2 linked regions of the Nothobranchius furzeri genome follow. The protein of the gene in region 1 purifies or fractionates together with the protein of each later gene. This does not show direct contact. Links are inferred from orthologs where the notes say so. Each region holds a gene or a part of one and is shown on either strand. Other genes may lie near its edges. The genes, in order: pex1 and pex26.

Region 1 (3,816 bases):
GAAATTCACGAAAATTTTATAGAAATAAAAGAATCTTGTTTATTGGGTCTTTGGGTATTTAAGACCTTTGGAAACTCTAAGGATTATTTGTCATTTTTAAGGATTTTTAAGGCCTTAAATTTGGAAAAGCAAATTTAAGACTTTTTAAGACTTGTTAAGGACCTGCAGATACCCTGAAACAAGGTATTCAAAATTTTCTGCAAAAAAATGGCGTTTTACCCATGTTCCCATAGTGGAACCGGGCCTATTGATACTGCTGCAGCAGGAGGCTGTCACACCATCCTCCTACACCCTACAATCTCAAGCCCCAGCTGGCAAGCCCCTTCCAAATGTCTGCAGGAAGTTTGTAGCTCTAACGCACGAACGCACCTGTACGTCTCCCTTCTGCAGGACAGTGGGCGCCAGAAGAAAAAGCTGGTCGGGAGGATCGTTCAGCGGCTCCGGGTGCAGCACCGTCAGAGCCAGCTCCAGCTTTTCTATCGTTAGGAAATAAAAACAATTAGAATGGAGGTGTGTTTAATACGGCTTGGATCTAAAACTGTGGGTTTCTGTTTCTTCTGAAGCTCGTGACACAAGTTTAGAAATGAATCACCGTCGTTTCCGTGTAGGAGGACGGAGCTGCAGCGTGGAGTCAGACAGGCCAGAGGTTCGTGGCTCTGAGTGTGCAGCCAGCTGAGGAACGCCGTCTGGATCTCTTCGTCGGTCTCCTCGGGCTGAGGAGGAAAAATTCAGCACAAAAATGTACAAAAGCAGCAGAAACGTGAACTCCGGCGCCCACCTGAGGGCTCAGAGGCTGCAGGTGAACGCTGGTGGCGACTTTGATGGTCGACTTCACTGGTTTTATTCTCACTGTTGAATGTGGCTGGATGTGTAACTTGCTGCTCAGAGGCTGAGGGATCTGTGGAGACATGATTTCCTAACGGAGCTCAGTAGAAACAGCATGATGGTTTCATAGTTCTGCTCCAGCTGACTCACCCAGACTCTCCCGCTGTGGATCCCTCCCTCGTTGGGACCCGCCTGCGTCTCGGCGCAGTGGCACACGACCCTGACCACCACAGCTTCCTCCTCCGAAGCGCCACTTTCACCGCCGTGCTTCCGTTTCTCCGCAGCCTGCTTACTTTTGTCTCTCGCTTCTCTGGGGGATAAGACTTTGGAAAGGCGGCCGTAGGTGACCGCTGACTGGCCTCCTCTCGGCGCGGCGTTCCAGCAGAAGCTCCAGGGAAAAGTGTGAATGGCAGCAGCGTTGGCGTGATTTACGGTGCAAAGGGCGTCCGGCGGCGTGCTGCACACTCTGTAGATGGAGTCGGGGAGGATGGCGGGAACGTTCGGAACAGGAGGCTGCTCTTTAATCGGGTCGTAGCTGCCCTTCGTCACGTGTCGAAACAGGCTCTTTAGGTCAGCGACGCCACCCCACCGTCGGCTTTCAGGAGAGGAAGACGCTGCTGTCGCCTCCGAGGAGGATGGGAGCAGGTTTGCAGGGCTGTTGCTGAACTTCTCAAAAGACTCTGTGAGGGCGCCGATTCCCGCGCGGATCTTCGGAGACACGGCGAGCTCTGTGAACTGCTCCAGGCGGCCGTAGGGCACATGAGGGGCGAGCGACGCTGTGTGGAGTGGAAACAGATTGTTTGGGAAAACTATTTCACTAACACGAGCGGTGCTTTAGACGTCTCAGCTCTCCCACTCAATCTCAAATCACGTGCCACTAGCCTAGGTGTGAAACTGGACTCTGACCTTACAGTGTCTTCACAAGTCAGCGCTACTGTCAAGTCCTGCTTTGTCCAACTCCGCCGCATCACTCGTCTTAAGTCAGTCCTCAAACGCCCGGATCTCGAGTCAGTCATTCATGCTTTCATTACTTCACGTCTGGATTACGCAAACTCTGTCCTGATTGGGATTAATGCTTCAGCCTTAAACAAACTGCAGAAGGTTCAAAATGCCGCGACCAGATTTTTAACCAACACCGACAGACGCATGCACCTCGCACCCATCCTCGCAGATTTACACTGGCTCCCAGTCAAATTTAGGTTAACTTCAAGGTCTTATGTTTACAAGGCTTTGTACCGCCCATCCCCATCCCATCTGACGGACCTGCCGACCCCGTATGTTCCCACCCGTGCCCTTCGGCCAGCAGATCATCTGCTGCTTGTTGTTCCGAAGGTTCGGTACATGCCTTCATTACCTCTCGCCTGGACAAGGCAAACGCCCTCCTCGTTGGTGTTCCGGACTCTGCCCTGAATCGGCTGCAGGTCGTCCAGAACGCTGCTGCCAGGTTCTTGACGGGTACAAACCGACGTAGCCACATTACTCCTGTCCTGGCACATCTTCACTGGCTCCCTTCAGAGTGCAGTTTAAGTTACTGACTTTTGTTTTTAAAGCACTCAATGACCTCGCACCTCCCTACCTCTCTGCCCTTCTCACTCCATATGTGCCCACCCGCTCGTTGAGGTCGGCTGACCTTTTGCTGCTGTACACGCCGCGGATGAGATTTAAATCATGGGGGATCAAGCATTTGTCCATGCTGCCCCAAAGCTATGGAACTCATTGCCCATTGGAGTTCGGCAGGCTCCGTCTCTGGCGGTTTTTAAATCTTGTTTAAAGACCCACTTTTACACTTTGGCTTTTAGACAGTGACTCGTTTTAGTGTTCTATTGTATCATTGTTTTAATGTGTTTTTAGTATTCATCAAGGTTTATCTGCCTTTGATTGAGATTTTTATCCTTTGTTTTAGCTCCTTGTAATGGTTGTGTTTTGTTTTAGCCTGTGCAGCACTTTGGGCAGCTCCCATGCTGCATTTTAAACGTGCTGTATAAATAAACTATGCTGTGCTATGCTAAATCACGGGGGGAGCGTGCCTTCTCTTATGCAGCCCCAGAACTCTGGAACTCCGTGTGCGTCTGGCTCCCTCTGTTAGCAGCTTCAAGTCGGCCCTGAAAACGCACTTGTTTAGCATTGCCTTCCCTCCGTGACACTTTTCATGACAATCCAGCACCGGATTCGATTTTTTAATTCCGTTTTTATGATTCAGTTGCTCACTTTTGGCACCTCGCACCATCTGGTAGCTTATTTCGTTTTATTTGTGCCATTTCAAATGTTTTTGTCGTTCGTCACATTACTTTATTTTTTATAGTGCTGTTAACTGTTCTCCTATTTTATTGTTTTTAGTAGGAATTTTTATCTCCGACTCTTTATGCTTTGTTCTTATGTATTTTGCCTGTTCTTATTGTGTTTCTTGTTCAAGCATTTGGCTTTTCTATGCGCAGCACTTTGGTTAGCTGCCATGCTATTTTGAAATGGTGCTTTATAAATAAATATGGTATGGTATTTATGGATTTATTACTGATTAAAGTACAAAAAGGCTCTTTGATAACCCAACGCAATCACTTTGTCAAAGACACAAGATGGTCCACAGCAGATCTTAAAAACTGAAGTAGAAAGAATGAACGCACACTGTTACGGGCTCACACAGAGGTTAGGACACCAATAATCGCACATACTGGAAAACAAAACATAACGCAAGTCGGTGTGAGGTTTGTCAGAGACACGGACCGTTTCTCCACACTCGAGAACGCGAGTCCGTTCTTGCCTACTAGACAAGTATGTCCTGGGCAAAGACACCAGGAAGTCTGTTCTACGGAGGACGGCGTTTGGAACAGAACCATGCTCCGTTGTGTCCTGGCAACAAACGCTGCTTCTTCCTATGGTTAAAGAGCAAGTCACCCCCAAACAACATTTTTTTCCTGATAAACTATATAAATGAGCGTCTAATCGTGCTGCAGACACGTCATCAATAGTTTGGCACTTCAGTGCATCTTAGTT
Region 2 (4,536 bases), on another chromosome or scaffold:
CTGCTTGACCTTGCCAGTTTTCTTGGCCACACGTTTAGCTTTCATCTTCTTGGCTTGCCGCTGACTCATCCACGCAGGATACTGTCCATGTTCATCCAACAGAGTTTTCTTGTTTCGTGTCTTGTCCATGTCCATCTTCCCATCTGAAACATAAATGAAAGGAAGAGCTTAAGAAAGCAAGCAGGTATGAAGCAAAAAAAAAATAAATAAATAAATACATTGTTACAATCCACAAAAACGTAAGAAATAACCACCATTCCTCACCATCCTCCTTTTCTTCCTCCATTTCAACATCCATCTTCTTTATCTTGTCAGCCGGCACCACTGTGGCGATGTCCTGTAAGTCAGCCATTTCGGCCTCTCCTTTCTTGTCCAAATTCAGAGCTTGTTTGAGTCGAGCAAGCTCCTTAGGAGCATTTTTCTTTCTCTTCTCCGCTCGCATTTTACGCTTCCATTTGCTCCTGAGGCTTTTAGCCATTTTTAAAGATGCTTTAGAAAAACAAGAAAAAAACGAAGTTAAACATTTGTATAGAATTAATCAAGTAACACCAAAATATTGATCAAGCCTCTCTGTTTCTGTTTTAGTCCTCGTGATTTACTGCTGTACTGAGTTTGCAGTTCAATTCAATTTTAAATTGGCATCAGAAGCTCTTATGTACGATGTTCCACAGGGTTCTATTCTAGTCATGATTTTATTTGTCCATCACCTGCTTCTATTATACAACCCAATCACTACTATACTGATTATATTCAGATTTTAACACTCATCCGTCATTGAGTTTTCCATCAGATAGAGGTGTATGGAATCTACTAAACTCTGGTTAAATGATAACTTTCTCCCAGCTGGAAAATAACAGAGGTTCTCAACATGGTCTCAGATTACGGGCCACTTACGTTTGTTTGCCTCGTACATTCAACCTGCTTTTAAACACTTGTGAGTTTCTTTTCATAGTAATGTGTTATTTTACTCTCCATTCATCTCATTTGTTCATATTTAACTTCAAATAAACCCAACTTGCTTGTAATTCCTTAAAATAACTTAATAATTTTTTAAAAGTTATTTCGAAGTTTTTTAGGTGATAGATGAACGTTTATTTGAAACCAGTCTACTAAATTAAAAGCAAATATGCTAAGAAAACAGTGTTTGAATGTGCTTAGGTCGAGTCTAAACACAATACATTTGGACTAAATACAGTACGACAAGAGTAAATTAAATGCAATACATTGTTATTAGTTTAAAAATTTACTATTTAAACTTTAAGCTGCCATTTAAACCCGTTAAAACTACGCTAGCTAGCTAAACGATACAGTAAATATTTCCCCACTCTACTTGTTACGGCAGTAAAAACCCGCGTTAAACGCTCCCAAACATCACACAGTAATATAACACGTGTATGATTTGATATGATATTATGATATGATAACAACAAAGTGTTACTCACAAATAGCTCAACGTTTTAGCTTAGAACGCGTTGCTCCGTGCACGTGTGTACAGTAAAGAAGCCGTGACGTGATTGGCTGTTAAGGACGATCTGAAGATTGTGACATCTGATTGGCTGGTGATCAAAATCCAGGAAGTTCCGGTCATCTTGTGTAAATAAAATAATGAGAGTTTGTTCGGTAGCATCTGCGATATTACCGACGTAGACTGACATAGTATCATAAATATATTTTAAATTTATTTTCTTAAATGTCTTCTGGTGTCATGAGCAGCTGCTCAAACGGCAGCTTTGGTTCGGATTTTAGCCCTCCGCCGCCCTCCTTATCTCAGATGTTTAACATGTTGGACTCGGCTGCAGAGCTCATGATGGTCCACAGAGACTTCCACGCTGCTTTAGGCACGTGCAACAGAGGTTTGGAGAGTCTCGCGTGCATGGAGTTGGAGGAGAACAGGTTGGTGACATCAAATCACTTCACAGCTGCTATTTTGTGTTGTTAAATTTGAGTTTAATAGCCTGTGTTGTGCGTTTTCCTTCTACAGATGTGAAGAGTTAAAGGCCGCTTTCTGCATGTTGGGTGTTCAGGCGCTGGCTGAGCTTAATCAGTGGCATGGTGTCTTCTCCTGGGTTCTGCAGCAATATGAGCACCTGGAAATCATACCTGCAAAGATAATGCAGACATGGTGAGAGAGAGAGAGAGAGCACACTTGCCTAGATATGTTGAATAGTATGAAAACCGTAAAATCCCAAACCTTTTGACTGAAAAATGTGAATAGAATCATAAATTAGTTATTTGTGATTATATAACAAGCCCTGCATTCAGTTCAAATGAGTTCAAACACAACACAAATTAATATTAATGGATTAGACCCAAGGACCCAAAACACTTTAAAGATAATCCATCATATTCACTCATTCATTCACACGCTGGGGTGACGGTGGGTCAGGGGTCAGTTTCCCTGTAACCAGTGTGTTACCGGTTCAAACCCAGTCTTTGTCCGTCTCTCAGTGTGCCTCAGGGCAGCTGTGGCTAGAATGTAGGTTTTCACCATCAGTGTGTGAATGGGTGATTAACTGACTGACTGCAGTGTAAAGCACTTTGGAGTCCTCTGAATCTGAAAGGTGCTTTTCGAGTCCAGATGATTTATCATTTATTCCCATTGTGGTGGTGATTGTAAACTGCATACCAGCCACAGCCACCCTGAGACAATTTGACAGAGACTAGGCCACTATGTTGCACCACTGGCAGGAAAGGCAGATGAAGTGCCTTGCCCAAGGGCACAACAGCAGCAGCCATCCACATACTCCATCTGAAAAAACTTCTTAGTGTACACATGATCATAAAGAGGAGAAAATATGTGTTAAACTTTGACACCCCCCCCCCCCCAAGACATAATCAGAAATTATAATGTTCTCTACTTTTTGCAGCATTCTCCTTTTCTCCAAGGTGGGCGAGCCTGCTGTGATGCAGGAGGCAACCAGAGTTTGGTTACACTGCTCCTCAAACGGCCAAGCGGCAGGTTTTCGTACTGTCGCAGAGCTTTATCTGCTGCACATTCTTCTGCCTCTTGGACATTTAGAGGAAGCAAGGGAGCTCATTTCAGGTGACGTTGGTAGGACTGCATTCACAGAAGACCAGAGACAAACTGCGCTGGATGTTGTGGAGGAAAAAACACGACAAAATGAGGAATTGTTTTTAAATCCCAGGAGCCCTCCAGACTCTGATGCTGCGGCACGTCCTGCTTCTACTCGAGGTCTAATAGTTCAGCCCTGTTCTTCCTGTGTGTATAATAATATATGACATAATCATAACTGTCTTAATGATTGTGTTCTGCAGGTACTGTAATGCGTAAACTGGAAGCCATGCTGAGGTTTTTGCATAGAAAATGCTTGATGACCGGCTCAGGCTCATTTCCTCTCCGGAAAGTTTTCCTTGCAGCTGTTCTTCTCTACATGCTTTTCCTCCGACTGGATCCAGGTTGGATGAAATTTTCATAGTCATACTTATTTCCTTTATAATGTTTAACAAGAGTAATCTGTGTTTTTCCCTTCAGCCCATCCATCTTCATTCATGTGGATTTCTAAACTTCTTACGCTGATCAGGCAGATGTGGAGAAGCATGTTTGCACCATATTATCAAGCTCTCACGTAGAGCAAAGGCTTGTAAAAGACACTGTTGTAATGTGTTTGATTAATTCATGTAATTCTCTCAAATCTGTTAAAAGCCACTTTTATTCTCTCTTCAACTATTATATTAGCTGTGACTTTATTTCCCCACCAACATATTTTATTACCTGGTTTGTAGTCACCGGTTAATCGACTTACCTGTTCATAAACTCACATTTACTTCACTGACCTATCCGTAAATCCAGACATCAGGATTTCTCTGGTTTTAAGTCACAAATCCAGTTTAGAGTAGAAAATAGTCACAGCCAATAAGAGAAGGCTGCTTCTCATTGGCTGGTCCTCCACAGAGGGGTGAGGGGTGTTGCTTCGGTTGGTCTAGAACAAAACACATATTGCATCATGAATGATAACCCAGGGTTACTGATGTGCCCTTAACCTCAATAAAAAATAAACGCCATGCATGGATTGTTCTTATTTTCTTGTCTTTTAAAGATGTTGGTTACCAATTTAATAATAATACATTTTATTTCAACAGTGCCCTTCTAAACACTCGACACGTTACAGACAGAGATAAAATACACAAAAATAAAAGATAGAACAGCATAAAACAAACAGACGGATTGGAGCAAAGAGAGTAACTATTGGAATGCTAGACGGAACGGGTGGGTTTTGAGTCTGGTTTTAAAGAGAGTGAGGGAATCAATGTTACGGAGGTCAGGAGGGAGTGAGTTCCAGATCTGGGGAGCAGAGCGACTGAAGGCCCTGCTCCCCATAGTGACCAGACAGAAAGGTGGGACAGAGAGGTGGATGGAGGAGGAGGACCTGAGGGAACGGGTTCAGGTTGAAGGATGAAGGAGGTCTGAGAGGTACGGGGGAGCTAGGTTATGGATGGCTTTGAATGTATACAGCAGAATTTTGAATTGGATTCTGGAAGTGACTGGGAGCCAGTGGAGCTGCTGAAGAACAGGGG

Evidence for each region.
Region 2: the proteins of pex1 (region 1) and pex26 purify together in Homo sapiens (affinity purification with western blotting; 3 studies listed by BioGRID and IntAct, with this or other methods). This does not show direct contact. The link is inferred for Nothobranchius furzeri from reciprocal best matches to the Homo sapiens genes PEX1 and PEX26.

Annotation. Positions count from the first base shown.
Region 1 is NC_091759.1:22,190,418-22,194,233, forward strand, and holds part of pex1 (peroxisomal ATPase PEX1), read right to left. Parts: intron 1,602-3,816; coding exon 976-1,601; intron 899-975; coding exon 779-898; intron 714-778; coding exon 593-713; intron 477-592; coding exon 370-476; intron 1-369. UniProt on the Homo sapiens protein: Component of the PEX1-PEX6 AAA ATPase complex, a protein dislocase complex that mediates the ATP-dependent extraction of the PEX5 receptor from peroxisomal membranes, an essential step for PEX5 recycling.
Region 2 is NC_091741.1:43,002,354-43,006,889, forward strand, and holds pex26 (peroxisome assembly protein 26), read left to right. Parts: upstream 1-1,560; 5' UTR 1,561-1,690; coding exon 1,691-1,893; intron 1,894-1,981; coding exon 1,982-2,122; intron 2,123-2,867; coding exon 2,868-3,193; intron 3,194-3,276; coding exon 3,277-3,417; intron 3,418-3,493; coding exon 3,494-3,591; 3' UTR 3,592-4,023; downstream 4,024-4,536. Other genes in the region: llph (protein LLP homolog), read right to left, coding at 1-143, 265-478. UniProt on the Homo sapiens protein: Peroxisomal docking factor that anchors PEX1 and PEX6 to peroxisome membranes. PEX26 is therefore required for the formation of the PEX1-PEX6 AAA ATPase complex, a complex that mediates the extraction of the PEX5 receptor from peroxisomal membrane.